7 linked regions of the Oryctolagus cuniculus genome follow. The protein of the gene in region 6 interacts with the protein of the main gene of each other region in a pairwise test. Links are inferred from orthologs where the notes say so. Each region holds a gene or a part of one and is shown on either strand. Other genes may lie near its edges.

Region 1 (4,081 bases), on a different chromosome or scaffold from region 6:
AATTTTTAAAAAAGAAGCCTGGCATTTCCCCTCCACATTTACAGTTCAGCACTAGCATCAGTTCTTGGCACCAGGAATCACGCACCGCCAAACTGTGGCCTCCTGGGTCTCAGAGGGGTTCCATGGGGGAGTCCCGGGCAACACTAACGGGCCAGCACTTTTGGATCGCTTGAATCTAAACACATGTGGGAGTACCTTGTTCCAGGTTAGTGACACTCAGACTGAAGGGTCCACGCTGACATCTGTTTAGCATTTCAACTGTGCATTACAGTATGACATACACTACAGCATTGTACTCCTGTGGTTAGTGGCTTCCCAACAACACAGGGCTGGACCCGACTCAGGTCTATGGGAAGTGGAACACTGCTCTAACGTGCTCATGAGCAGGTGGCTCCCGCACACTAACAGTGCATTCACGGCACTGGCTCTTTATGTCTCATTTAGAAAATACTAAATTCACAATTAGTAAATAGTGAAAGCTTGTTTTTTTGAAAGTGCATGAAATAAGAACATTAATGGCCGAAGCCTGAGCATCAGGATTTTAACCAGTTCCTGGGTGAGGCTTGCAACTTCCAAGATCCCTGTGCAGAGTGAGGCAGGGCAAGCAAAGGTGGGCTGTATTCTATCAGCTGTTACCACTTCACACAAGGAAAATGAAAGCAAGGTCTTCCCATGCTTTCTTAGTAATTCACAACCTCCCCATGGTTCCCTCATTAAGACTTTTCAGCCTTATCTAGTGCTGCTTACCCAGGTCAAAGAAAAAAAAAATGGGGGAGGGGTGGACAAATAAGCACTTGCATATAAACAACTGCAAAGATACAACCACAAATTGCTTGGAACACATTTTCCGTAGGATACTTTTGGGGGGCTGCCTTGCTGCCTGCACAAGCATCCCATTTGGGTGGCGGTTCGAGACCCGGCTGCTCCACTTCCAGCTCTCTGCTAATGTATCTAGAAAAAAGCGGGAGGTGGCTCAAGTGCTTGGGCCCCTGCACCCACATGGGAGACCCAGATGAAACTCCTGGCTCCTGGCTTCAGCATGGCCCGGCACTGGGTGTTGTGGCCATTTGGGGAGCTGAACCAGCGGATGGAGGATTTCTCCCTCTCCCTCTGTAATTCTGCCTTTTCAAATAAGCAGAGAGATAATGTTTTAAAGCCATTTCTGACTGCAGTTCTCCATGGGAAGAAGAGCAGCGCATGGCCACCCCTCACAGGAGACCCGGCAGCTCTGGCAACGCTGGTCTTGACAAACCCAGCAGGTTTCCTGGAAGATTTCCGAGGCCTTCTAAGAACAGCGGCCATGCTACAGTGTCACCAAGAACAGGGCAGTGCCAGTCACAAGAATCGCTAAAGCGGCCCCACTGCACCTCGACCTTGGAGCAGAAACCTTTGCAAGCTTACCACCTGTCTTAGGAGGGAGCTGGAAACCTCCCACCAGGCCCTCTCTCCTCGCCCTGCTTGAAATGCCTTTTCCACAGGTCTGGGCACCTGCCAGGTGACCGTCTGACTGCCCAGTGCGGGCCAGCTCTCATCCTAACAAACAGGCACATTTCTTCAGGGCTCCTGCCTGGCCTGGACTCACTCAGCAGCACCCCAACCGGATTCACACGGGACTCCCCGCCAAGAAGGCAAACTCCACCCGGCCAGAGCCGCCTCTGCTGTGTCTCCAGGAGCTCACAGCCTTCCAAGCCTGACGCCTGCTCCCCTAATGCCCTGCACACGTTATCTGTTGCCGGGAAGGAGCGGCAGGCCAGGACAGATGGTGACAGGCGGATCTGGCTTGAGGGATACATTTTCTTTTGAATTTGAGCCTCTCCCTGGGGCTGTAAAACTCCAAATCAAAGTCTTAATCTGAGACTGTACACATTTGAAAGAGTCCGGGTTGATAAACATTTACTCAACACTAATAAAAGGTACAAGTTGTTGATCCTGACTATGCAGGACAGAAAAAAAAATTTTTTTTTTTTTAACAAGGCGCCGATTCCAAGGCGTTTACGATCTTAAAAGAATAGACGAGCCCCCTTGTAACTAGCCAAATGCAACCTAGAGAGGCTATAAATAAAGCAAGAGTTATCTGGGAGGAAGAGATAGATTAATCTATTGCTAACTCCTCCTTTAATCCCACGGCAAAGACAGTAAATCCAAATCCGAAAAGGTCAAAACTGGAACATCCCGAGGAGCTCGCTGAAATCCAGAAGTCGCCCCCTTCGCAGGGGCTAACGTCACAGCCGCAGGCGAATCTCAAGCTACCCAGAGAGGAAAAACACTCAGGGTACCAGCGCGGAGGAAACTTGGAAAAGCAGATCACGTAAACAGGCCGTTCACAGCCTCGCGTTCCCACCCAGAGACCCCCGAGCCCCCCGCCCGCGGCCCCAACGCTCGCGCTCCCCGCAGATCCCGGGCCCGAGCCCCCGACGCCCCCCGAGACCTCTCCCCGAGCGCAGGTTCGGGTCCCCACGCCGCAGAGACCCGAGCCCGCTCGTCCCCCGGGCCTCCTACCGTAGGTTTCGGACATGGCCGTCTGCGACATCTTGGGAGCGGCACGGCCTCTGGCCGGGTCACGGCTGCAGCTGGGGTGAGCGGCGGGAAGGGAGGGCCGGGAGGTCTGTGTGCCGCGCGTCCAGACGGCGAGGGGCGTGGAGCGGGGTGGGTGGGGAACCCGAGGAGGGAGGGGCCGGACCGGTCCCCAAGGCAACCGCCCACCCGCACCGCCGCGGCCCTATAGGACTCCGGCTCCGCGCAGGCGCACGGCCCTCGGCCCTCGGCCCTCCTCCGGCCCGGGCCTGGAGCTGGAGGAGGAGGAGCAGGAGGAGGAGGAGAAGGAGGAGCCAGGCCCCCCCTCCCGCGGCCGCGCGTGCGCATGGGGAGGCCGGGCGAGGCGCACAGGCGCGCGCGGGCGCACAGGGCGCGCGCCAATACGCACAGCTTCCATCCACTGGTTCACTCCCCCGATGTCCACAAGGGCGGTGGCTGAGCTGAGGCCAAGAGGGGAGCCAGGATCCCAATTCGGGTCTCCATGTGGGTGGCAGGAACTCAGTAACTGGAGCCATCTCCACTACCCCCCCCCGGGGGGGGGCACATTAGCAGGAATCTGGAGTCAGAAGCTACCGCTTCGTATGGAACCTGCCTACTTTGATAGTGTTAGGAAACTGGCACAGTTTTAGCCAGGTGGCCACATGGCCCAGCTACCTGAGCCAGGCTCCACCCCCATCCTAATGGGATTCGCTGCTCCTGCTTCCCTGCCCGCCCTCAGGCAAAGTTTTAAAAGGGCCTGTTCCTGAACACGTGCTCTCTTGGGCTCTGCTCCCTGCTCTCTTGGCCCTTCTCTCTTGCTCTCTCTCGGTTCCTCTCTCTAGCCTCCTCCTCTGGTCTCTTGGCTCTTGGTTCTTCTCTCTTGGCTCTGCTCTATCTTCTCTCCTTGCTAGCTCCTCTCCTCTCTGTTTCTCTCTTATATTCTCTTTCTCTCTTTTTCCTTCGCAGCCCCTTCACTCCGGTCTGTAGGGTGTTCTCCAGTAAACCCTTTCCCTTACTCCGGTGTCCGGTGTGCTTTGCGACGGCTAACATTAATATATAACAAGTGGAACAAAGGTGATGTGGAAGGGAAATAAACTGAAAGATAAGGAGCTGAAACATTTTTTTTTTAGACATTTTCAGAGGCGTTGTAGGCCTTCAGAATTCTGCAGTTTCAAGCCACTCTATCTCCAGCTGAGTATAAACACTGCTTTTCAAATGATTGATGTTTTTCCTTAGCAAAGACCCACCCAAGTCTGGTTGCAGCTGGGCGGGGGAGGTGGGAGGTTCTGCGCGTGCGCGGCGGCCCCGCCCACTGGCGCATGGCGGCGGTTGCTCGGCGACCGTCATCCGGAGCTGAGGAGTTGGAGACCGCGGACCTGCCTTGCGGGGACGTGGTGGCCAGACGGCTCGTTTTCTCGGATTTTGGGCTCCGGAGGTGGCGGAAAGCCGCCGTCCGCTTCAGAAATGAAGCGATTTCTTTCCTACTCAGCCATGAGGCGCCAGGTGCTCCAGACGTCCTCCGACGGGCGCGGGAACGGGCTGGAGGTTCGACCCCAGTTCCGTGGCA
Region 2 (3,412 bases), on a different chromosome or scaffold from region 6:
AGAAGAGGGAGAGACACATCTTCCATCAGCTGGTTCACTGCCCAAATGCCCACAGCAGCCAGGGCTGGGGCCAGGCCAAAGCTAGGAGCCAGGAACTCCATCTGGGTCTCCCACATGGGTGGCAAGGGCCCAGGTACTTGAGCCACCACCTCCTGCCTTCCCAGGCACATTGGTAGGGAGTTGGATGGGAAGTGGAGCAGCCAGAACGAGAACCCGTGTTCCAATATGGGATGCTGGTCGCAGGCCGTGGCTTGACGCCCTGCGCCACAGTGCCAGCCCTGGGTTTGGGCTGTTGACTCCTCCCACAGGTTCCTTCCAGCGTGGTCTGTCTTGTCTTTCAGACATGCTGTCGCTGCCGGGCCAGAAAACGGTGTATAAAGAAGTTCTCCATCCAGAGGTTCCCAAAGATCTTGGTGCTCCGTATCCTTAGATGCATCAGGGTGGGGCTTGACCCTGGCGGGAGACGAGTGACTCCGGGCCAGTGCGCAGGGCGGAGAGCAGGGAGAAGCCAGGCCGTCTGCTCCCCGCAGAGGGGGCCGTTGCCCATTTCGCACCTGCTCTGCTTTCTGGGCCGTCCTCGCTTGGCTGTCTGCCCTTGACTCGAGGCAACACCAGATCTGAAGCGGTTCTCAGAATCCAGGATACGAACCAGCAAGCTCACAACATTTGTGAACTTCCCACTGAGAGACCTGGACTTGCGAGAATTTGCCTCAGAAAACACCAGTGAGTAACTCAGAGCACAGGAGGCCGGGAGGGGGCTGGGTGGGGCCGAGGAACGGCCCTGGGGCTTGACACCCTGCGTGTCCTCCTCAGACCACGCTGTTTACAACCTGTACGCTGTGTCCAATCACTCCGGAACCACCATGGGCGGCCATTACACCGCCTACTGCCGGAGTCCCGCGACGGGCGAGTGGCACACTTTCAACGACTCCAGGTGAGAGCGGTCCCGTGTGGGCGGGGCTCCCAGCTCCGGCACCCACACCTCGCTTATCGGCTTGGCCTCCACTTTGAGTGGACCCAAAACTTCTGAGCCCAGAAGCTCTGGAGCAGCCCTGAGTCCGGTGCCTGGGAGCAGGGGAGAGAGGCTGGAGGGGGTGCCTCGCACGCCCCCAGCCCCTCGGCTCTGGGCCTCCCCTGCCGGGCCCCTGACAGAGCCTTGCTCTCTCTGCAGTGTCACAGCCATGTCCTCCAGCCAAGTGCGCACCAGCGACGCCTATCTGCTCTTCTACGAGTTGGCCAGTCCACCTTCCCGTATGTAGCAGCGGGGAGCTGCGTCCCTCTCCCTTCCCTGTGGCGGCCCACACCCTAAGTTTTTTAAAAAGACAAAAAAAAAAACAAAACAAAACAAAAGCAAACAACAAAAAAACAAACTTGACAAATAAGAGAAAAAAACTACAATAAACTGCCGAACAGGAGTCGACGCAGCCTGGCCGGGGTCTGGAGCAAGGAGCCGGGTGCTCCTGAGCCGTGGCCCGGCGGGGAAGATGGACTGGACACAGCGCTCCCTCGGCTTCTCTTGTTTGTATTTTTTAAGCTTGTGGTTTTTGTCCTGTGTGTGATAAGCAACGCCCTGTGTGGGGAGAAGATCGCTGGCCACCTGCTGCCCTCTCCAGCCCCCGCGCCTCTGAGAAGACAGCGCCCTCTGGAGCCCGCTGGGAGCATTGCTGCCTGGAACGGACAAGCCCTGCGCCCCTCTCGGCCCGGACCTGCGCACTGGTCCAGAGCAGAAAACACCCGTGAATGAGCCAAGAGCCCTCTTAACGCTGCTAACTCCAGGGGGACAGACGAGGAAACGTCTTTCAGAAAAGCAGTTTTTAGTTTTTTTAAAGTCCAGCTTTTTTTTTAATGACCCTAACTGATGTTTCAGCCTGGAGATGTCTCCTTTACACCTGCCCCACTGGGGTGCTGTACTGGCCCGCCTTTTTTTTTTTTTTTTTTTTTTTTTTAATTCTTAAAGTACAACTTCTCTAATACTAGCCCCCGTGGTGCTAGGTTGGTGTTGGCCAGGCCCCAAGCATAGCCACGGTAGACTTGGGATCTAAACAAGTTTTGGTCATTGTTGTTGGTTTTTTTCTTTTTTCTCTCTTTTTTTTTTAATGTTCTGGATGGAATGTAGTTGCCTCCAAGAATTGTGCCTTATAGCATTTGGGGACCAGGAGATGACCGCCCCTCCCTGAGAGCTCCCTCCTCCTCTTCATCCTCCCCAGCGCCACGCTTAGACCCGCCCGTGCAGAGGGGTCGTGCCCTCTGCCCCTGACGTTGCTGTGCATTGCGGGGTGACAAGGAGGAAGCGGGTGGAGGGAGGTTTCCTGTGATAGTGCATCAAGGTTTTCCTGCCCACACCCTCCGGCCCAGCCCGCGTCTACTCCCCAGCTCTTTGGAGGATAGCACAAACCCCTGTCCCTTAAGCTGCTCTCGCCTTTTAATTTATTCTCAGTGATGTCCATGCCCCTCCCTCCCGCCTCCTGCACCCGCCCTTCTCAGAGCCTCCTAGACAGAGGCCCTATGGACGAGTTTCTCAGGGACGCCCACGCTGCCCCTTAGCTCCTCTGCCTGGGGGCTGGAGCCTGGCTGACTGGGATTCTTCCCCCGGGGGCTTGATGTTGCCCTGCGGTCCTGGGTGGAACTCTGTGCTGTCCCAGAGAACAAAGCGGTTCCGCACCGAGTGTAGAGGTCCGAGCGCCTGGCACAGGCCCGCTGCTGGGCCCAGCCTGTGTCCCTTGCTGCCGGGGGCATCCCAGGAGGAGGCACCTGAGAAAGACGCCCTGAGTTTAACTGGCCTGACCCTCTCCAGGGAAGACCTGGGAACCTGAGCCCGAGGGCTGGTGTACCTTGTTTACTATGTAAGCAAGAGCAGAATGTCTCTGTACAGTGGAACCTTGTACAGAATAAATGATAGCTTTGAGAAATAAGGTGAATATGACAGAAGCTTGATTCGGGAGGGGTTTAAACCCAGGAAGGGCTCCTGGCATATTAATGGCCACATATGAGGGCGGTTCAAAAAACCTGTGGGAAAATGGAACTGCAAGAAATTTAGGGACAGGCGCTTGGCCTGGCAGTTAAGGCCCATTTAGGACACTCGCGCCCCACATCTGAGTACCTGGGTCTGAGTGCCAGCTCTGGCTCCTGATTGTGTTGCAGGACGATAAAGACGACCTCGTTTCTTGTCTTACGTCGAAGAATTTCTTTGTGGACAGGGACAGTGAGCAAAGCAAAATCTATTCAAAGAAATGAGCTGCAGCAGTCAGGAGAGGAACTCCAAGAGAGGAGTGGCCACTGCTGGTTCTTTTATACAGAGAGTGACTCTCTGATTGGCCCCTTTCTGATAAGTGAGTAGAGCTTTAGCCACTCAGAGGATGGGCACAATACAACCAATCCGGGAACAGAATGTGTGCTGATGGGACATGCCACA
Region 3 (4,291 bases), on a different chromosome or scaffold from region 6:
CAAAACCTCTTGGAATTCCTTCGGGGGGGGGGGGGCACCACTGGTGGGAGAAAAGCTTGTCTGCCTCCCAGCAGATAAAAGGTATCCCACCTGCAAATTCAGGGCTACTGTTTCAATGCAAAGTGGGGCCTTCCCAGAGAAGCAGGATCCGAAAAGGTCTCCTGGCCTCCGTGAGAAATCTATAGCCCTGTGTACGAGGCATCCAAACAGGGAACCTTATAATGAAGAGACCTTCAATGTGTGTTCCCATGATTCTTTAAAAAAGTTCCTCTTTCAATTAGGGTGACAAGTGCTGGGGGCGGGGGAAGGGCGGCGAGACAGGGACTAGGACACAAGTCCAATGTCATCTAACCCAGATTCTTAACAGACACGAACTCTGCTGTCAAAAAACCGTCTCTGCCACTTCCCCACTGCCTGTGCCCAGTGGGGGGCCTTTCCCCAGGGGCTGCTGACCAGGCTCCAGGCTGCTCAGCCTGCGGAGGCCCGAAGACACCAGCACAGAGATGCCAATCACTGGCACACAGGCCAAACCCGGCTCATGCATGGGTTTTGTTTGGTTTCTACTACTGAAATCTACAGATTTCACCAGACTCTTGATTTCTGGCTTTTCTTAACAGAAAATAAAATTCCAGCTGCACCCAGTCTGAGGTTCAACACGCTCTCAACTGACGAGCTGGCAGCAGGCACAGTGCAGAGCACTCAAGGAACAAGGCTGCAGTCCACCCTGGGCAGAAAGCAGGCCCTCCCTCGGTCCTGGCTTACACAGACGTTTGCGTTTGCAACTTTGGCCTAGCCCAATCCTCTCCTTGTAGAGAACTGGAAACTATTGCCCAGGGCGGGGAAAGGACATGCCCAAGGTCACACAGCAGGGACGAAGCGGTGTGGGCAGGTACAGAGCCCATCCAAACCTCTCCGCTTTGTCCATGAGGATCAGGCTCCATTTCACTTGCTCCCAACCTGAACGACTCCGGCCTGTGGCTGGAATACCCTGCGCTTTGAATCAACCAGGGAGACTCCCTGCTGCACAGCCCAAGGAATGTCAGGTGCAAAGCCCTCCCCACAGCCCCCCGCAGCTGCCCTCTGCTCACCCAGACCCTTGGCCTTCTTCTTTTCCTGTGGCCTCCGGTGGTCTCGGTCTCCGACCTCATCGCTCGTCCGGATCTCTTCCGTGCCCGGCTCTGCCTTGGAGGTCTCCTTCTCGCCATTGACTACTGGGGTGCCCGGCTCCGGCTCCCCATTCCTTGCCACATAGGCGCGAGACTTCTCTGCATCTTCAGGTTCAGGGGGCTCACCCTGGACCCCATCCTCACCCGGGGCCCCCTGGTTGTTGTCCACACAGTATGTACTGAGTATGTCTTCCAACTGGCGGCTCAGCTCCTCAGAGACATCACAGAGCGCCCCAGGCTGAGCAGTTTTGGCTTGAGCCCCTAGGGCAGGAGAGGACGAGAGGCAGCGACAGACGGCAAGGTTAGACCACCACCTGGGATCGTGAGCCCAGCCAGCCTCACTGGTTCAGGTTTAAGGTTGCCCCAGCTTACTTAATTCTCGCAACCTCCCCAATACAGTTTGTTCAAGCATAAAATAAGTACGTACGGCACCTGGGACTGCCATGTCGCAGGAGGCAGGCAACTCAATGTTTCGTCCATTCCCCTCCCTCTAAAAGCCCCCGCTTGCTATGCAAGCAGCTCCAGAAATGCCTCGACAACGAACCAAGGGCAGTGACCCACACTGGTGACCGAGGTCCTTCGGATGGAACCCGGCGTCACTGGCTGAGGCCTCAGGTGCCGGCCACCTGCGAGAAGCCTGCAAGGGCCTCCCCTCCCCAGAGCCTGGGATGCTCCACATCCCCGCTGCCTCCTCCCTGGGCCGGGCCGCGAACTCCTCCCCCAGGCGGCTGGAAACGCAGAGCTGGCACACACCCTCCGGCCTCCCGGGAGCCTGGCTGCTGGCACCTTCGGCTTCTCGGGCGGGGGCCGGCCGGCCGGGCCGCCCCTGGGCTCCCTCCGCTCCTGCTTCCGGCTGTCCCGGGCTGCTTTTGGGGTTGGGCTGTTTGGCAGCCCCGTTCTTTTTGTCTTGATTCTTCATTGTGCGCTGCCACCTTAGGTTGGGATTGGATCCTTGAGAAACACAGTTGCTATTTTCCACAGAATTCTTCGCAGCCTGGATCAGAAATCACAGCCCAGGCGCACCTTCAACGGAGGGAGCCAACGGTTCTCCCGCTGTCCGGCCGGTCAGGGGGCCTGGCGCACCCCGGCGGGTTTCCGGGGCGCTGCTCCTGGAGCGGGTGAGGAGAGAGGCCTCCTTGTTCCCCCCGAAGCCACTTCCCGGCCCCACACGGCCCCTCACGGCAGGCCCGGCGCGGGATTGGCTCCCGGCCGCAGACTGACGTGGCGGGACGCTCGACTCCGACCCCTCCCCCCGCGCCCCAGGTCCCACGTGGGCTCCCGCGCCCGCGCGCACGCAGCCACCCACGCCCCGCGCGCCCTCCAGTCGCGCGCATGCGCACAGCGTCACCCCGACTCCCCCCACCCCCGCCGCCGCCCACGCGCAGAAATCGGAGCAATTTCCCCGCTGGCCGAAAGTGTCCAGGTCTGCAGGCCCTCACCGTCCGTCGTCCCGCCGCTGGGCTCACCTCACGGGCGACGTGCGACCGCGTCCCCAGCGCTGGCCTCGCACCGGAAACCCTGGGTAACCGCTGCCGGCAGAGCCGCCTGTCCGAGCCACAGCCAATTAGTAGCCGGCGCTGGCGCGGAGCTTGCCGGGAGCCGGGAGCGAAGGCGGCCTCCAAGGCGGGTGCATCGGGAGGGCGGGGACAGGAGCGGACTACACGTCCCACCATGCATCGGTCGACACAACTCCCAGGATGCTCTCGTCCTCAGAGCCGCGGACTCCGGAGGGCTGGGGAGCCGGTGGTTCTGAGCAAACCTCCACGTCAACCTCGCCGGTGTCGTGCAGAAGCCCTGTGCGGCCCAGCCTCACTGCGCCCGCGTGCCTCGGTCCACACTCCGTCAGTCCGGGGACTCCGGAGAGGCCTGGGCTGGGAGGCAGGCCTGTGTTCCAGGTCCGACTTCATCCCTAGGTGCCACGCGACTGGACGTTCTTTTCTCTCCCTGCCTCGATTTCCTTATTCTGACGCAGGCTTTCAGTGACCGTAGCGGTTCTCTGAGCACACCCCGTGTGCTTCCCTGGTCTCTTAAAAGCCCTGGCCTCCTAGCTGCTGGAGATAAGTACTATTTGTCATTCCCATTTAACGGAAGAGGGCTGTAAGGCTCGCGTTAGACAGCTCGCCCACGGTCACAGATGCTGGGTTCGAGCAGTGGTTCAGAACCTGACTACTCCGCTACCCTGCCTTTTACTCAGAAGAAATAATCACCATTGCAGGCGTTCTCCAAGAGCCCGGGTAACTTGTGAAAGGTAGTTACCCCCCCCCCCCCCCAATAAGCTCGGCAGTCCCGCAGGAAGGGGCAGAGGGGTCCCTGCAGGGGTGTTTGACCTCAGGCCCATTCCTGAAACTTCTTCGTCCCATTTTGTACAAAGTCCTTGTGGTACTAGGGCTAAAACTGAAAAGGCCAGATTTTTCTCCAAAGGTGGGATCACAATTTTTTAAAAAGATTTATTTATTTATTTGAAAGGCAGAGTTACACAGAGAGGAGAGGCAGAGAGAGAGAGAGGTCTTCCATCCGCTGGGTCACTCCCCAATTGGCCGCAACCGCCAGAGCTGCGCCGATCCGAAGCCAGGAGCCAGGTGCTAGGAGCTTCTTCCAGGTCTCCCACTGGGTGCGGGGGCCAAGGACTTGGGCCATCCTCCAGTGCCTTCCCAGGCCATAGCAGAGAGCTGGATTGGAAATGGAGCAGCTAGGAGGTCTTGAACTGGCGCCCATGTGGGATGGCGGCACTGCAGGCACCAGCCCCGAGGTCACAATTCTTTATCACCGCTGCTTATAGACGTTGGAATAAAACCCAGTACTCTTTGCACCTGGAATCTGAAGAGCCTACGTGGTTTGGCTTTTGCCTCTTCCATCCAATCTTGGGTTTTTTGCTCCAACTCTACTTTTATGATTCACAGGGTTTCTCAGGTTTTTGCAGATGCTTGCTATTTTTCTTCCAAAGTGCACTTATGGCAAAAATAAACAACAAACTTGAGAGCCATCTCAAAGAGCACATCAAAACCCTCCCAGTGCTCTGCCACTGTTGCAGCTCCCTAGTGTTAACCAGATTAGTCCCGAGTCCTGAACTTACTGTTTGCTGCCAAGTCAGTGAGCTTTGCGATGACCGTTGGATAAATGCTCGA
Region 4 (3,979 bases), about 3.5 Mb from region 6:
TTCTTGGCTTTTTGGCTAAGATCAAGTGAAGAGTCAAAAGATATATTGGGGGCCGGCACTATGTTGTGGCAGGTAAAGCCGCTGTCTGCAGTGCTGGCATCCCATATGGACGTTGGTTCAAGTCCCGACTGCTCCACTTGCAATCCAGCTCTCTGTTGTGGCCTGGGAAGGCAGTAGAAGATGGCCCACGTTTTTGGGCCCCTGCACCCAAGTGGGAGACCTGGAAGAAGCTCCTGGCTTAAGATAGTGCAGCTCCGGCAGTTGTGGCCAACTGAGGGAGGGAACCAGAGGATGGAGAACCTCTCTCTCTCTCTGCCTCTCCTTCTCTCTATGTGTAACTCTGACTTTCAAATAAATACATAAATCTTAAAAAAAAAAAGTTATATTGAGAAAATGCTCTAACATTTTCCTTTCATCAAGGCACCTTTCCATCTACAAGATGCCTGGGTAGTTTTCTCCCATAATCAGGAGCTCCTGGGGCCTCGCAGATAAAGGCACACAGCTGAACCATATTTCTCTTCAACAATCAAAGTACTAAAAGCTAGTATGAATTGTGCCAGTATTTTATGGTTAGAACAAAGAATGAAGACTTGAACTAGGGCTGGGGTAAGGGATCTGAGCAATATTCTTTTCAACAATTACTTGCTCTAGAAACAGCAATACTGAGCAACTATAATGTGTTAAATAAACGGTCCTAGGTTCTTTACAAATAGGGTATTTTATTAGTAATCCCAGGAACCCTGAGGGAAGTATTTTTATTTCTCATTTCACAGATAAGGAAACAGAGGCCTGGATGTCAATCATTTGTCTTTGACACACAGGTAAGAGAGTTCAAATAATGAGCCAAGGCTTTTTAAACCCTAAGGTTCTCTCCTCTTCCCTTCTGTATTCTTCAAAATGGAAGAGTCAGACACTTGAAGAAATGAAGACTCCTCTCCCAGAGCCCAAGTGCTTGGGCCCCTGCGCCCACGTGGCAGACCTGGAAGAAGCTCCAGGCTCCTGGCTTCAGATCAGCTCAGCTCCAAGTTGTTGCGGCCATTTGGGGAGTGAACCAGTGGATGGAAGACCTCTCTCTCTGTCTCTCCCTCTTTCGGTCTGTAACTCTACCTCTCAAATAAATAAATGAATAAAATCTTTCTTTAAAAAAAAAAAAAAAGACTCCTCTTCCTATCTCACATAGTGCTTTAGAAAAGTTGACTGTTTCAGTATTAAACAGAAGCCAGTGAACAGCAACCAGTGTCAGAAGGCACAAAGGACCATGCCATGTCCCTCATCTCCTGCACTGCTTCCTGTTGGAACAGTTTTCCTGCTGAGTCTCATTATAACCTTAGGACATCAAAATTTAATGATCTCATGATGGAAAACCCCAGAGAACAGCATTTAGCATAACTGGAGAGTTCACTAGATCAGGAAGGAAAAGAAATCAGGTGGCAGGAAGCGATGCTTATCTAAAGACACACAACATCTTTAACACGATATTAACAGTCATTCCAGTGTAATTTCCATGTTAATCTGAGGCTGTCTTTGCATTGCCTTCTATTAATATGTATTACTAAAAGCTGATCCCCACTCCATTTCCCATATGTTTAATAGGATCCTAAATAAGGTAAGACTGCCAAGACACTACGGACTGTTCATTTCTCTTTGCTTTAGAGGAAAATACTCAGTCATAAGTTCAAAGAATTACCAATTATCCCAGAAAGAAAAGAACTGAATCAATTAGGAAAGGTGGCAGGGGAGGGCACAGCCAAACGTGAATTTCATCACCAACTGGACTGTGGCTGGCAGAAATCTTAAATTCACAATTGAAACACACTTTCCTCCTTAGACTTCTAAGGACTCAGCCCAAAACAACCCAAACTGTCAACTAACGGCAGATTGGGGGATGGACAACTGCTAAAAAGTCTCAACACATGCCAAAATGGAAAAAAAAAAAAATCGCTTAGAAGGTCTGCCCTCCACGAAACCACTGAAGAATGAAAGAATTCAGTGTGTGTGCACAAGAAGACCATTACAATGCAGGGGGTGGGGGGAAGAGGTCACTTGGAGTTGGACAAATCCCTAGAAAATGCTAGAGAAAAACACCGACTCTGTGGTCTCCCTGTAAGAAATCCTTGACGGGAAAGGGTCAACTCAAGATAAAGTGGGGTCAGGCTGCAGAACTGCTCTCACTTTTCCTGGACCCCCACCCCCCGCCCCGACCCCTTTCCTCGCAGGCGGCCCCAAGCTCCCACCAGAACCCTTTGGGAGAAGATTTGCACCTGAGGAGCTGGGGGAGCCAAGGAAGGGGCCACCCTCGAGTAAGCAACCACCTGTGCATGCTGGAGACCCCCGAGGAGTTCTCTTCAAAGTGGGAAGTGGCTCTGGGAATGGCCCCCCAAGCCCCGGGGGCGACACGGGGTTCTCCCTCAACTCCTCTGCCCCCTGTGCCCGGTCGTCGGCCACCCCCCAGCTGAGGTCACCTCTCCTGAGACCTCCGCCCTCAGACCCCGGTCTGTACCTCACACCCAGCCGTCCCCGCTCCTCTGCCTGACAGCCGCCCTGCCGCTACCAGGCAGCCCTGACTGCTCGGTCCTGGGGTCCCCACATCAGTCGCAAGATTTAGGGATTAGGATTTGGAAGGGTTTGGTCCAATCCCGGCTCCCTCTCAGCGTCCTGGGCTCACCTCCCCGGCAGCTTGGCGCTCCTCTTCCAAAACTGCTTGCTGTTCTCGGCGGCCATTGCTCTGGCCCGGGGAAGGCCTTGTAGGTGGGTCAGGGGGTGCCCGACGAGACGCCCCCGAGACCCCGCAATCTGAGGGCCAACCCAGGCCGCTTCCCCGTCGCCGGTCACCCGCTCCCAGCTCCTGGGGGCGCCATCTTGGATGTGGGCACCCGCCCACCCAGCGCAGCTGCCATTGGTGGGCTGCGCCAGCCGTGAACAGACGGGCCAATCGGGAGCCGGAATCCTGTAGGATGCTGAAGCCGAACGGTAACGTCAGGGGCTGGGCACCCAGGTGGGCCGGGAAGGCGGAGCTTGAGCGAGCCGGGAGGCGGGGCAGAAAGTTCCTACCCACGAGAGGGAAGAAGCAGGTAAAGAAAGCGACCCACGGGAAGGAGGCACGGGGGCTGTTTTCTTCTGGGGAAATGAGATCCCGGAGTCTGCTATTATTTGTAAGGAGGGCCATAGTGTGTATTTATAAACATAAATCTTTGACCTTGTTGGTTGTGACCCATTTTTAACGACACCCAACTCAGTGACACTTCGGTGATAGCCACCCCTTCCTCGTTCCGGTTCCGTTTAGGTCCGGAGTTTTTTTTTTTTTTTTTCTCCCTATGAAGGACTCAGTTAACCCACGCTCCCTAACTGTTCAACATGTGACAGTGGGTTCAGGAGTCTCCCTCCTCTGTTGACTGAATACTTTTAAAGGATTTGTGCTGTGAATGAAACGCCAAGGATCGAATCCTGTTTTAATCCGTAACTCTCACTTTCTGACAGTGAAAGCCTAGATACTGACTGACAGACGTGTTTAGGGAATGTGGTTGCGTCCATCCAATCCACATGACCAAGTACCCCATTTCTTTAGAGCATATCGTGTATCTCCATGATGTGAATCACCAAGATGCGGGTGTACCCCCACACACTTATCCTTAATTTCCCTTCTTAATCTATTGTAAATCTTTCACCCTTGAATTTGTTCTCAATCTAATTTTGTCTCAGAATGAAATTTAATATTAGCATTTTAAACTCTTTGAAATGTTTTGTCTGCGCTTTGTGCTTTTTTTTTTTTTAAGATTTGTTTATTTATTTGAAAGGCAGAGTTACAGAGAGAAGAGAGAGAGATCTTGATATCTTCCATCCACTGGGTGTCACTTCCCAAATGGCCAAAATGGTCGGAGCTGGGCTGATCTGAAGGCAGGAGCCAGGAGCTTCTTCCTGGTCTCCCGTGCGGGTACAGGAACCCAAGCACTTGGGCCATCTTCCACTGCTTTACAAGGTG
Region 5 (3,937 bases), on a different chromosome or scaffold from region 6:
TTTCTTAAATGTCTTTTTTTTTTTTTGACAGGCAGAGTTAGAAAGAGAGACAGAGAGAAAGGTCTTCCTTCCATTGGTTCACCCCCTAAATGGCTGCTACGGCCGGCACTGTGCTGATCCGAAGCCAGGAGCCAGGTGCTCCCTCCCAGTCTCCCATGTGGGTGCAGGGCCCAAGCACTTGGGCCATCCTCCACTGACTTCCCGGGCCACAGCAGAGAGCTGGCCTGGAAGAGGAGCAGCTGGGACAGAATCCAGAGCCCCAACCGGGACTAGAACCCAGGATGCCGGCGCCACAGAAGGAGAATTAGCCAAGTGAGCCATGGTGCCAGCCTCTTAAATGTATTTCATTCAAAGTTCAAACGAAAGGAGCAGGTCTCTAACTCTGAGGCTCCAGGCCTTACAGGCACAAGGAAAACAGACCCACACCCTCCTGTGCCCGCAGCTGTTTTACTGTAGAGAAAATGCTTACATCACCTTCCAATTAAAATCCATCCCACAGTGACCGAGTGGGGGCCTTCCACGTGCCAGGCACTGCTCGAGGCACAGTGTGCCTTCAGAGGCAGTACACTGGGAGGGAGCACAGCCGGAGGAGTGGCTGCACATAGGGCTCCTCTTCCTGCAGTCACGCCTCATGCCCAAGCCGCCTCCCCAGAACACTGGCCAAAGCTTCTCTCTTTGCTGCTTTGTTACCCACTTTCTTCCACCCCCTCCCCTCCCCAAAGGCTCACCATGCCCACCACTGTCACCTCTTCCACCAAGTCTTCTCTGCCATGCTGCTGCCACTCTCCCTTCTGAAGACCTGAAACACTGGGTTCCTGTCAGCCTAGACTCAGGTCGAAGTGTCCCAGCGTGCACTCTACCCTCGCCACACCACATTGCGTCCAGTTCCACAAACAAGCCATGTTCTTTACACATGCCTTTCCCACCACCCCAAAACCTCGCCCCTCGCTCTAAACCTGCCTTTGGCCTCACGATACTTTATTCTTTATGTATCCTGAACTATTTCTTTGGCGAGTGTCTGCTCTGAGAATGGCACCCAAAAAGGTATGGGCAATGCAGCTCTGAATGAAACGTCCAAGCCCCTGTTCTTGTGGAACTCCTGTATTCCAGTAGCAGAAGACACTAACTAAGCTAGCAAACTTAGCATGAGACAGCGATGAGAGCCACCGCCTCTCCTCCCTTTGCTGCATCCTCATCGTCCTGTCTCTACATGCTGAACTGCTCTATCCACACCCACTCCCTAGGTGGTCTCATCCCATAAGCAAGGTCTTAAGAAACTATATTTGCTTCAAAATAACGGCGGAAGGCAAGTAATACAGCTGAAACCAGATTAACCATAGTTGGCAATTACTGGAGCCAGGGATGAGGGCATGGGGCTCATTACGTAATTTTCCCTGTTTCTGTGAGCACTTGAAACTTCATTGAAAAAAGGGGAAATGAACAGAAATAAAGGAACATGTATGTGTAGAATAATACATACGCCACATTTTATCTACAACCCCAGCCCCTCTCCTGAACTACAAATTCACACAGTCAACAATTTGGCTAACTGCAATTTCTAATGCAGCTGTGCAAAACAAAACTCTTACTTTTATTTATTTTTAAAGATTTATTTATTTGAAAGGCAGAGTCAGAGAGAGAGAGAGAGAGATATCTTCCATCCTCTGATTCACTCCCCCAAATGGCCACAATGGCCAGGGTTGGGCCAGGCTGGAGCCAGGGGTCAGGAGCTTCTTCCGGGTCTCCCACATGAGTGCAGGGGCCTAAGCACTTGAGCCATCCTGTGCTGCGTTCCCAGGCCATTAGCAGGGAGCTGGATTGGAAGAGGAGCAACCGGGACTCCAACTGGCGTCCATGTGGGATGCCAGCACTGCAGGCGGCAGCTTTACCCACTATGCCACAGTACCGATCTCAGTAAATAAATCTTTTTTTTTTTTTTAATTCAGTGTCTGGCACAGAGAAGGTATTAGATGTTTACCAATACTTCTAGAACAAAATAAAACAGCAGTTAGGTAACGAGGGGAGGTCGCACAAAGGACCTGATGCCTGAGCTGGGACCTCAGCCCAGAGGAGCCCGAACTGCAGACTGAGGAGCGGAGACTTCCAGGGAGAGGAAACAGATTCTAAAATGTTAAAGGGCTTGATTTACTGGAAGGAGCAGTTAGAACAGTGGATGAGGGCAGAACTGTACAAACCACGACAGAAGGTTTGCAATGGAAAGTCACTGGAGTTTAAACAAAGGCGTCACAAGGTCTGATTCTGGATTCTCTTTCAAAGTAGAGCTGGCACGCTCCCCGGACGGTGCCATTTACAGGCTGAGGGCGGAACCGGTGAAGCCCGGGGGGGTGAAATCTCAGATGGCCACGGCCAAGGCAGCAGAGACGTTCGTACAGTGTGCACGTAAAGATGTATCCAATAACCATCGAGAGCGCGACCACAGGGCCCTCATCCGCTCCTCCTCAGACAACTCACAGAGGGGAGAGGTAAGAGGACGGCCGGCGCACACAGAGCCCCGCAGGCCCGCGTCAGGGCCCGCCCTCCCGTCCCCGGGCCCCGCTCGTGCGGCACCGCCTCGCACGCCGCCCGGCCCCTCCTCCCGCCCACCTTCCCCGAGGCCACAAAAGCCGGGCAGTGGCAGGGAGAGGGAGCGGAGCACGTACCCGCCGGTCCTGCTCCTTTCTTAGCTCCTTCTCCACCCGGTGCCTCCGCCGGGCAAAGGTCACCACGCACCGCCCTCGACCCTACAGACCCCGCCGCGTGGTGCGTAGGAAAGGCCTCTCGGGACGTCACCCCGCTCCGGAAGTCTTCGCGGCCGTGAGCGCAAGGGCCGCCGGGAAAACCACTGAGAGGCCTCCCGCGGGTGGCTGCTAGAGCGGCCTCCTTCAACCACCACGCCTCCGAGTCTGGCCCGCGGCCGCCGGGCTCTGGCTGGCTGACGCGGCGGCTTTTTCTGCTTGGCCCGGAAGGACCCAAAGCGGAAGGCGGGAGAAGGAAGCACCTGGCAGGCGGAGGAGGCTCGAGGGGGCGGTTGCGCGCCAACCAAACGCCCGAGAGGCTCTGGACGCCGGCTCCGCGGGGTCCACCCGGCGGCCTCGCCTCCGTGCGCTTCCGGGAGCCGTCTAGAGCGAGTGCGCCTGCGCGCCGGCCGGTCCGCGCGCCTCGCCGCTGTTCTCGCGCCGGCCGGCGGCCCGACGGTTCGTGCGGCGCTTCCCGCCCGGCGTCTCGGCTCAGGGCTCACTGGCCGGCGGCATGTCGCGGCGGCGGCACAGCGACGAGAACGACGGTGAGTGCGCCCGCGAGGTTTAGCGTCCCGGGTCTCGAGGGGAGGGACGGGAATCCCGCCTTCCCCGGCAGCGTTTGGGGGAGCCAAGGAGGGAGGCGCCGCGCGGGGCAGCCGGCCGGCTTCTGGAAAGCGAACGCGCCCCTTCCGCCCTTGCTCCCCGTTCCCTTTGTCGTGAGGAAGGGAGCCCGGGCGATCCCCGTGGGCAGAGGCGTCTGCTCTCCAGGGGCTGTAAAAAGTTTAGACCTGCGCCGCCTGCAGGGATCCTTGACAGAGCCCCAGGGGTCCTGGGGTTTGGCTTCAGCCCGCAAAGCTGCGCCTGGGCTGAGCTCTCGGAGGACTTGGCGCAAGGAAAGGAACAAAGGCGTGTTGTGAATTGCGTTCCGCACCCCCTGCCCCGTCCGCCCTCCCTGTGAAGGGGTAGGAAAAGAACTCGGGCTCCCGCACACCCACAGGGACACGTGGTGCTGCGTTGGGTAGACGATTAGAGTCCTAGCTGGAGAGCTCTCAGGCCCGGGTGCCCGCGTCCTTTCCCGACGGCTTGTGCTCAGGGAGACCACGCTGTTGCCATCATGCAAACGAAATGGTCTTGCTACTGCCAACAGGAAAAGATGTGTGGGTTAGACGCGAGCGTGACGGTCCGTCCGGAACACACAC
Region 6 (3,500 bases):
CAGGCGCTGAGGGTCAGTGCTTCGGACGCTCTGGACGTTCATCTCCAGGATCATCTCAAACCGCGGCCACAGAAGGGCGAGCACCTGCTCCCAGTACCTGTGGGCTCAATCAGAATCGGAGGTCAGCTGGCAAGGAATGGGGAGCGGCGGCGGCCGACCTGAGGTTACTGGCTGACGGCTGACCGAGGGGCAGGGGTGTGTGAAGGGTGAGCTGGCCTCTGAACAGGTGACAGGGAGGAAGGGCCAAAGGTGTCAGGTCAGCAGGGGCCCGGGATGAGGGTAGAGTCGCGTTAAGACCAAGAATGCAAGGCCTGCAGGGCATCAAGGACCAGAACTCAGTGACCTGTCCAGGGCAGGAACATCCCTCTTCGCTGCGATGTTGCGGAATCGGAGAACGATGTGGATACAGAGGAAAACAGCAATGGCATCGTAGCAGTCAGCTAGATAGGACTCCAGATGTTTCTGTGATTTGGGAACACGCAGATTGCAAGAGCGTTAGTCTGGCATCCCAGTGCCTCCGGATAAGTGCATGGGCTCCTTTGGGGATGAGGTAGCAGGGAAGGACGATATCTAGAAGGAAAATGCCCCCCTTCCCTGGGCACTGGCTGCTCAAGCCCTGCCCAGCAGGCTCTATTCCAGTGGAACTCAGGGCTGAGCTGGAGTGCCAAGGTTTAGGGGTCCCTCAGTCTTCAGGAGTTACTGCCTGGTTTGTGGATCAGAAATAGGAGCAGTCTCTGTGGACCTCAGGCTTTGAGGGTTTCATGGGGAGTCACACCGCGAGCTCGAGGCTCAGGCATTCTAGAATGGGGGAGGCAGGTCCTAGTGCAGTACTGCAGGAGTTATGGCCCTGCTGTGGTGCGCACTGGGACTGAGCACAAGGATCTTACCAGGGTCATGGTGAGTGTACGGCCCATGACAGCGTGGAATAGGTCGTGGGCAGCTGGGCCAGACACGACAAAAAATTCACAGATGAAAAGATATTCACGGCAGGAATTGTCCAGGAGGGCATAGTGCTGGCTGCGGAACAGGGCCTCGAATGGATACTAGAGGAGGAGTAAAGAGAGGCAAAGGGGTGGCCCCCACACTGACCCCTCCGTGCATATGACTGGCAAATCAGCAACCCCGGTAACAAGAGCTCGGCAGACCCTTCCCATCCCATCTCAGTCCAGGCTAAAAGAGCACCCTGAATAGGCACTGAAAAAGTTGGGGAGCATGAGGGCCCCGAGAGGAAGAGCCTATCCCCCAGCCAGGGTTGCACTCCTGCACCTACCGCAACACCAGTCCCCCTCCCCTCCCCTCCCCTCGGCATGCCCTTCCTTCGGTGGTTGCCAACCCCATCACATCACGGCAGGCTGCAGTGAGTGCAGAAGGCGCTCCCAGGGCTCAGGGTACTGATGCTGGAGCCTGCGAGCTGGGAAACTGCCCAGCGATCTCTCCCTCCTGCCCCACACACGGAGTCCCACAGCGACAGAGCTTCTTCCTCTTCGCACGTACCCTTTGCTCTCCCCGCTGGGCTGTGTGAGGCACCAAGATGGGGGCCTCAAGTTCAGTGGGGGAGATGACAGAGCCACGGGTCCCCAGGGTGAAGATGGTGTTCCTGCTGCGGAGCGACGGCTTCGAGAAGAATCGTGGGAACGGCCCGAGTCAGGGGAACCAATGAGAACACAACTGGACCCAGGGACTTAGCACCTCGGGACTATCACTCAAGAAAGAGCGACAGCCTCCGTATCGCTCTTTCTAATGACAGGGCCCCACTTCACCTGACATCTGTGAATGGGCACCAGGGAGTCCATACTCCAGGAGATCACGTGACAAACCGTGTCTAGATGGCGGGTCCCTTTATCTGGGAAGAGGGTCCACAGCTTTCACCGCATTCTCCCAAGTTTTGGGGACAGAAAAAGGCAAGAAGTAGATCTTGGAGACAGAGAGAGGTAAGAAGCAGGCCCTTGGAGAGTGGCACTAGGGTCCCCCACCCTGAAGGCCTGGCTGGAGGGTCCCCAGCTCCAGGATATCTTTCTTCGCTGTATCTTCCACGCCCATTAGGTCATCCTTCTCAGCTACTTCCTCATACTAGGGAAAAGAGAAAAGAGAACTGGTGGCCGTCTCTTCCTACAGCACAGCAGAAAATCCCACTCCTTCCTTGCCCGGGGTTGTCCCCTGCTCCACGGGCCCAGGAATGCCTGTCCTTGGCCTCACCTGCACCTTCATGAGCCGCCCCAAGTAAGAGCGGTAGTAAGAAAGGTAGATCTTGCTCAGCGTCTCCACGTATTCATCCCTGATCTCCTTCGCTGTCGCTCGCTCGTTACCCAGCAGGAACTGATAGAAGAACCTGGAGGAGCCGAGGATAAGTCAGTCTTCCTGACCGCCAAGAAACAAGCCACTCACTGTGCGCTGTTCTAACACCTGGGGCACCATCCCCTCCCTCGCAAGGTGACCTGTACTTCAGCAGTGCCGTCTGAGGGATCTGATAGTTGGTCATCGGTTTTCTGAAGGAATAAATCTTCTGCAGGATGAACTCTCGGATCTTCGTCACTGCCTACATGTGGGAGCAAGCGCAGGAGGAAGGGTAGAGAGCAGCTCTCCAGTTTTCCTTAAGATTTTCAGGGAAGCTCAGGGAACAGGGCTGAGCCCTGCCAGGAGGAGGCAGGGGTGAGGCTCCTGGAGACAGGCTACAATGAGACCTGCCAGGGAAGTCCAGAGGGAAGATTCTAGAAAGGCCAGCTCCAGGGGTCTCCAGGGTCTCCACCCCCACTTCCGCCTACCTTGACCCGGAGCCGGTCAAGCACGCCTCTGACGTCTGCACAGGCTGCAGTGCCCCTGGCCTCCTGCTCTCGGACTGCGGCTGCCTTGGCATCCAACTCCTGCAGCTGCTCTAGGAACCTGGGCTCCGTCACTGGAGCCTCCAGAATCGCCCTGTTAGCAGGCAGGTGCGGGCTGGATTAGAAGCGAGACCGACATCCCTAAACTCGACCCGAACCACAGCCCTTACCTCTAGCCTGTCACCTCTACCTCCTTACCCTGCACTGTTCAGTCAGGACGTACGTACAGCTTCTAGTCCTAGATCCCCTTCCTAGGTACCTAACCTGGGATACCTGAAGCATACACCGAGGTTAGAACAGCTGTCAACAGAGCGGGTATTTGATGCAACAGCTAAGATGCCTCTCAGAACGCCCACATCCTGTATCAGAGGGCCTGGGTTCAAGTCCTGGTTCCACTTCCAAGTCTAACTTCTTGCTAATGAACACCCTGGGAGGCAGCAGATGATGGCTCAAGTACTTGGGTCCCCGACACCCATGTGGGAGACCCACATGGAGTTTGTGGCTCCAGCCTGGAACAGCCTCTGCTGTTGCAGGCACTTGGGACATAAACCAGTAGATAGATCTGTCTGTATTTCTGTCTCTTCTGTCTTTCTGCCTATCAAACAAAACAAAAAGAAAGAAAATGGTTGTCAACCCACCCACTAATTTTTGGAAGGCACCAGATGACCTGGAGCCAGGAGA
Region 7 (4,144 bases), on a different chromosome or scaffold from region 6:
TTCTCACATACACAGAGCTGTTTATTTTTAAAGTCTTCCTGAATCAGAGCACTTAGAGGAGGTTATGAACCTTTCCCGTATTGACAGCTTTAGATTATGATCAACCGTATCACATAGTTCATATAGGGAGACTTATTTGTTTGCAAAACATTAGGAGGATGAACAAGGCAATCTCTTAAAAACGAAACCGTATCTTCATTACTGCCCATCACCGCGCATCTCCCTAAATCCAAAATAAGACTATGTGCTAACTGCTCCCCTCTTAAACTGAAACCTGCACTGCAGCTTTATGTCTCAGAGAGGAAATATTCCTCCTACCCCTTCCCAATTTAGATGTGCAGGTTATAGTTCTACGTTAAGAAAAAAAAAAAAAAAAAAAGACAAAACGTAGACTATCTGGGAGGAGCCCCTGGTGGAATTAATTACAGCACTTCCCAGATCGTAGTTAGCAATTGACAGTTTCACACCCAAAACAGTACCGTCATCTCCAACGAGAGCTTTTGTTTGCAAATGCAGCGCAGTTTCTCCAAGCTCTGGCTGCAAGTTGGAGTGACTGGGTTTTATTCCGAAGAGAGGGAGCGGGGGATCGCGGAAAAGGAGTCAAGCCAGTGTCGGGAGCCCCGCAACTGTATGGCACTCATTTCTTCCCCTGCCTCCCCCCAGTCTCACACTTCGAGTCAGCTCCTTCAGACCACAAAAACAAAACGGTTGGGTCCCCGCAATCCTATCTGCGCAACAAGGGCCAAAACTCAGCTCCGCGGCAGCAAACAATAGGGACTGCTCCAATAAAGGGCCCGAAGAGACCCCTACAACCTAGGACGCCCCTCCTTCCCTCCGCGACCCGGGGGCTCCACCAACACCCTCTGTTTATCGACCTACAAGGCCTACTGCAATCAGGCAGCAGCCGGTCCTCCTCCAGCCGGAGCCCTCCAACACGGCAGATCCGTGCCGCCCCCTGTAGGGCTGCCTCGTACCCCATAACCTCCAACATCATCTCCCCCCCAGCCCTTACCGCCCCCTCGGGTCCCCACAGCCCCTCGTCTTCCACAAAACTCCTCGGAGCACTCGGCCCGCTCCTCCTCCTGACCCCGCCGCGCACTGCATTCCCATATTCGACTCCTCTGAGGCGCCCCCACCCCACACAGCTGCCGCCCGCCCTTCCTCCCCCAGGCCCGGCCAGGCCTTGGGCCTCCGCCCGGAGCGAACCCCTCGCCGGCCCGAGGGGCTCCCTGAAGCCCCCACGGCACCGCCGACCTCGACCCCGCCGCCTCACCCCCGCGCCCCGCGGCTCTGGCCCGAGTCCTACCACCGAGGCCACTCCCGCTCGGCACCCTCGGTCCTTTATTGTTGACTCGAAGCTCCCAAAATGGCGGCGGCTCCTTCCTCCTCGGAAACCTCCGCCCGCCCCCACCCGGCCCCTCGCTGTGGCCGCCCCCGCCCCCGCCCCCGCCGCACTCCCGGGGCCGCGCCGCCGGCAGCCCGCGCCGCCGGCTGCCGGGCCGCCCAGCCTACCTCCGCCGCTGCCCGCTCTCTCGGCGCCGCCGAAGTCGCCGCCGAGCTGAGCTAACTCGGCTGTCTGCCCCCTCCCTCGCCCGCCCGCCGCCGCCTCCCTCCCTCCCTCTTTCCCTGCCTCTCCGCATGGCGGCGGCCGCGGCTCCTCCTCCACTCAAGATGGCGAGAGCTCGGCTGTCGCGGCCGCCTGGCTTCCCTTCTTCCCTTCTTGACGGCGAGGGGAAGCCCGGCCGGAGAAGCTCCCTGAGGAGGGGGGAAGGAAAAAAAAAAAAAAAGCGGGCCGTTCTCTCACACCGACGGGTGGAAAGCTGCAGGGGGAAGCCCGGCTGCTGTCTGAGGGGACAGGAAGGCCGAGGAGAGATGCTCGGGGAATGGTGGCTGAGGAGAGTCGCCGGCCTTCACGCCTCCTGCGTGAAAACCCGGGGTTGTGACCAGAGGCGGATCTGCTTGTTACTGCCCCAAGACCGGTCCCCAGCACTGCCGGGCCGGAGGCGGGAGGCTGACCTGGCACCCCCGCGGGCCGGGGGCCGCGTCCGAGCCCCTCGCGCCGCGTCTCCGCCCGGGAGCGCGCGGAACCAGAGGCCCCCACGCGCCCGCCGACGCGCGCCCGGGGGCGGGAGGGGGGCGGCCTGGGACCCGCGGTGGGGAGGGCCCCGGGGCGCGCGGAGGGCGGGCAGGGGGGGTGTAGGGACCGCGCCGGGCGGAGACCGTGCGCCTGGGAGGGGGAGCTGCGGAGAGCACGCGGGGTCTGGGAGGCGACCCCGCCGTTAGGGCGCAGGGCTGGGCGGCGCGACCCCCCTCTACTGCCGAGATCCTCCAGGGAGGGGCCGAGCCTCCCCCCAGAGGGGAACAGCACTGAGTCGTCTCGGTGGAAGCCGGGCAGTCGGTAAAGATCTGGGCGCCCGCAGGCGGAGAGTTTTTTCTCCCGCCCGCCCCTCACTTGTAAAGATTTTTAGGCATTTCTCCTCATGATTACTTCTCAGACCCTAGCGTCTCCGTTTATCCCCAACAGAATAACAGAAATGCTGTGGTGTCTCAAGTAAGAAAAAAAAAATTTGGCTAGGCCGAGGGAAAGTAAAATCCTAGGTCGCACCCGGCTGGGAAGCGGAATATACAAACGGACAATGGCCAAAGCGTATGTGACAATAGGACTCCGACCCACCTCCGCAGCAGCGAGCCCAGAACGGTCAGCACTTGCTCACTGACTGGCAGCTTCCATGTTTTTTTGCCGCTGTGCCGCTGTCCCCAACTCGGAGCCAATCAGAGAAAGCCAAATATGCCGCCGCAACCAATCACGTCCGAGGCCCTGCTTCTCGCTCGCCCTCCTCCCGCTTCCCGGTGCCAGCACGCGCCAATCGCGGCCGACCTGACGCCTTCCCCGTTTTTCACCATGAAGCTTTCCTACTCCCCCGCCTGCCTGGTCCCCACCACTCCGAGGGGTCGTGGCTGCGGATCCTACGGCACGCTCTGAACGCAAAGCCTGGTCTCGTTTGGCGGTCTGGAAAGGCTGTCGAGAGCAGTGAAAAGACTACCCTTGACGTTAAAAAAAAAGTCCCCTTATTTTTTTTTTAAATTCTAGGTTTAGAGCATGCCATCTCCCACCCAGATTTTAAAACACCTAGTCGTGAAGAGAGAAACCCTGCACCCTATTCCATCCTGTAGAGAAGACGGCTGGGTGATACCGTGTGAGATCCTCTTTGCCTCACTCTCTTCCCACGTATCAGGTGTGTGAAGGGTTGGGAAAGGGGCTTCAGGATTTACACCAGGTCCCTTCCCCCACACTGCTCAAGGAAAGGGTCCACAAATAAACTGTAGCCTGGATGAGGTCACGACAAAAATGGGCAATATGAAATGACCACCCATCTCACCTAGGAGTCCTTCTGAGGCGAAAACCTTTCGAAATTCTGTATAATGATCTTTTAAGATGGGTAAATACTCTCACATTGTTGGCCCTTTTCAGTTTTCTGATGGGATACGTAGATGGTTTAAAATTAAGCTAGGAACCCTGGATCTTTTATTCTAGATTCAGCTTTAGTGGTTGATAGGTCAAACCATTTCAAACCATTTTGTCCTTGCTGTTTTCAAACAGATTAGCAAGAATTGTGAAATATGACACTTTAGGAAAAAAGATTATTTGGGGCTGCACAGACTATCATTTATAAAATGTATTTTTAGGGGGTTGGAGAGAGGATAGCTAATGGGTCCAGGGGTGCAGTTGGGCAGGATAACTCTGATTGGCAAGAATTAATTGAATATTTCAAAATAGCCACCTAGCTGCTTTCTCTCTAGGGTGAACACGAGGAACAGAGTTCCCCCCTTCTGTGTGACGAGGTATTTTAAAATCTGGGAGATGGTATGCTAGAAACAGAATTTGAAGAGGATTTTGAATGTTCCTAGCACAAGAAAAGTATGTGAGTCTGAGGTGATAGGTATGCCTGATCATTACATGTTGTACATATGTACATATGTATTGAAAATGTCACACTGGACTCTTAAATTATGATAATTTGTTGGTTTGAAAAATTATTTTTTAAGAAGAATGTAATATAAATCAAATCCTTTGGTCTTTTAGTTAACATGGAGTGGAATAATTGTGAGTACTCTGTAGCAAATACGGTTTCTGGAGGATGTG

What was found.
Region 1: the proteins of VPS52 (region 6) and RAB4A interact in binary tests that used the Homo sapiens proteins (3 or more experiments, as listed by UniProt). The two-hybrid records come from large-scale screens. The link is inferred for Oryctolagus cuniculus from reciprocal best matches to the Homo sapiens genes VPS52 and RAB4A.
Region 2: the proteins of VPS52 (region 6) and USP2 interact in binary tests that used the Homo sapiens proteins (3 or more experiments, as listed by UniProt). The two-hybrid records come from large-scale screens. The link is inferred for Oryctolagus cuniculus from reciprocal best matches to the Homo sapiens genes VPS52 and USP2.
Region 3: the proteins of VPS52 (region 6) and TXLNA interact in binary tests that used the Homo sapiens proteins (3 or more experiments, as listed by UniProt). The two-hybrid records come from large-scale screens. The link is inferred for Oryctolagus cuniculus from reciprocal best matches to the Homo sapiens genes VPS52 and TXLNA.
Region 4: the proteins of VPS52 (region 6) and TBC1D22B interact in binary tests that used the Homo sapiens proteins (3 or more experiments, as listed by UniProt). The link is inferred for Oryctolagus cuniculus from reciprocal best matches to the Homo sapiens genes VPS52 and TBC1D22B.
Region 5: the proteins of VPS52 (region 6) and TSTD2 interact in binary tests that used the Homo sapiens proteins (3 or more experiments, as listed by UniProt). The two-hybrid records come from large-scale screens. The link is inferred for Oryctolagus cuniculus from reciprocal best matches to the Homo sapiens genes VPS52 and TSTD2.
Region 7: the proteins of VPS52 (region 6) and DDX6 interact in binary tests that used the Homo sapiens proteins (3 or more experiments, as listed by UniProt). The two-hybrid records come from large-scale screens. The link is inferred for Oryctolagus cuniculus from reciprocal best matches to the Homo sapiens genes VPS52 and DDX6.

The regions. Positions count from the first base shown.
Region 1 is NC_091444.1:90,047,273-90,051,353, reverse strand, and holds the start of RAB4A (ras-related protein Rab-4A), read right to left. Parts: upstream 2,801-4,081; 5' UTR 2,531-2,800; coding exon 2,500-2,530; intron 1-2,499. UniProt on the Homo sapiens protein: The small GTPases Rab are key regulators of intracellular membrane trafficking, from the formation of transport vesicles to their fusion with membranes.
Region 2 is NC_091432.1:110,963,372-110,966,783, forward strand, and holds the end of USP2 (ubiquitin carboxyl-terminal hydrolase 2), read left to right. Parts: intron 1-341; coding exon 342-420; intron 421-615; coding exon 616-723; intron 724-813; coding exon 814-934; intron 935-1,171; coding exon 1,172-1,259; 3' UTR 1,260-2,912; downstream 2,913-3,412. UniProt on the Homo sapiens protein: Hydrolase that deubiquitinates polyubiquitinated target proteins such as MDM2, MDM4 and CCND1. Isoform 1 and isoform 4 possess both ubiquitin-specific peptidase and isopeptidase activities.
Region 3 is NC_091438.1:140,273,197-140,277,487, forward strand, and holds the start of TXLNA (alpha-taxilin), read right to left. Parts: upstream 2,801-4,291; 5' UTR 2,633-2,800; exon of another isoform or gene 2,606-2,632; intron 2,491-2,605; exon of another isoform or gene 2,276-2,490; 5' UTR 2,086-2,275; coding exon 1,920-2,085; intron 1,428-1,919; coding exon 1,089-1,427; intron 1-1,088. UniProt on the Homo sapiens protein: May be involved in intracellular vesicle traffic and potentially in calcium-dependent exocytosis in neuroendocrine cells.
Region 4 is NC_091436.1:132,390,660-132,394,638, forward strand, and holds the start of TBC1D22B (TBC1 domain family member 22B), read right to left. Parts: upstream 2,801-3,979; 5' UTR 2,722-2,800; coding exon 2,666-2,721; intron 1-2,665. UniProt on the Homo sapiens protein: May act as a GTPase-activating protein for Rab family protein(s).
Region 5 is NC_091432.1:201,428,560-201,432,496, forward strand, and holds the start of TSTD2 (thiosulfate sulfurtransferase/rhodanese-like domain-containing protein 2), read right to left. Parts: upstream 2,801-3,937; 5' UTR 2,661-2,800; intron 1-2,660. Other genes in the region: NCBP1 (nuclear cap-binding protein subunit 1), read left to right, coding at 3,250-3,283.
Region 6 is NC_091436.1:135,856,866-135,860,365, reverse strand, and holds part of VPS52 (vacuolar protein sorting-associated protein 52 homolog), read right to left. Parts: intron 2,914-3,500; coding exon 2,763-2,913; intron 2,537-2,762; coding exon 2,436-2,536; intron 2,330-2,435; coding exon 2,197-2,329; intron 2,071-2,196; coding exon 2,013-2,070; intron 1,629-2,012; coding exon 1,495-1,628; intron 1,044-1,494; coding exon 888-1,043; intron 463-887; coding exon 344-462; intron 98-343; coding exon 1-97. UniProt on the Homo sapiens protein: Acts as a component of the GARP complex that is involved in retrograde transport from early and late endosomes to the trans-Golgi network (TGN).
Region 7 is NC_091432.1:111,456,391-111,460,534, reverse strand, and holds the start of DDX6 (probable ATP-dependent RNA helicase DDX6), read right to left. Parts: upstream 2,801-4,144; 5' UTR 2,675-2,800; intron 2,103-2,674; exon of another isoform or gene 1,631-2,102; intron 1,612-1,630; exon of another isoform or gene 1,513-1,611; intron 1,435-1,512; exon of another isoform or gene 1,013-1,434; intron 1-1,012.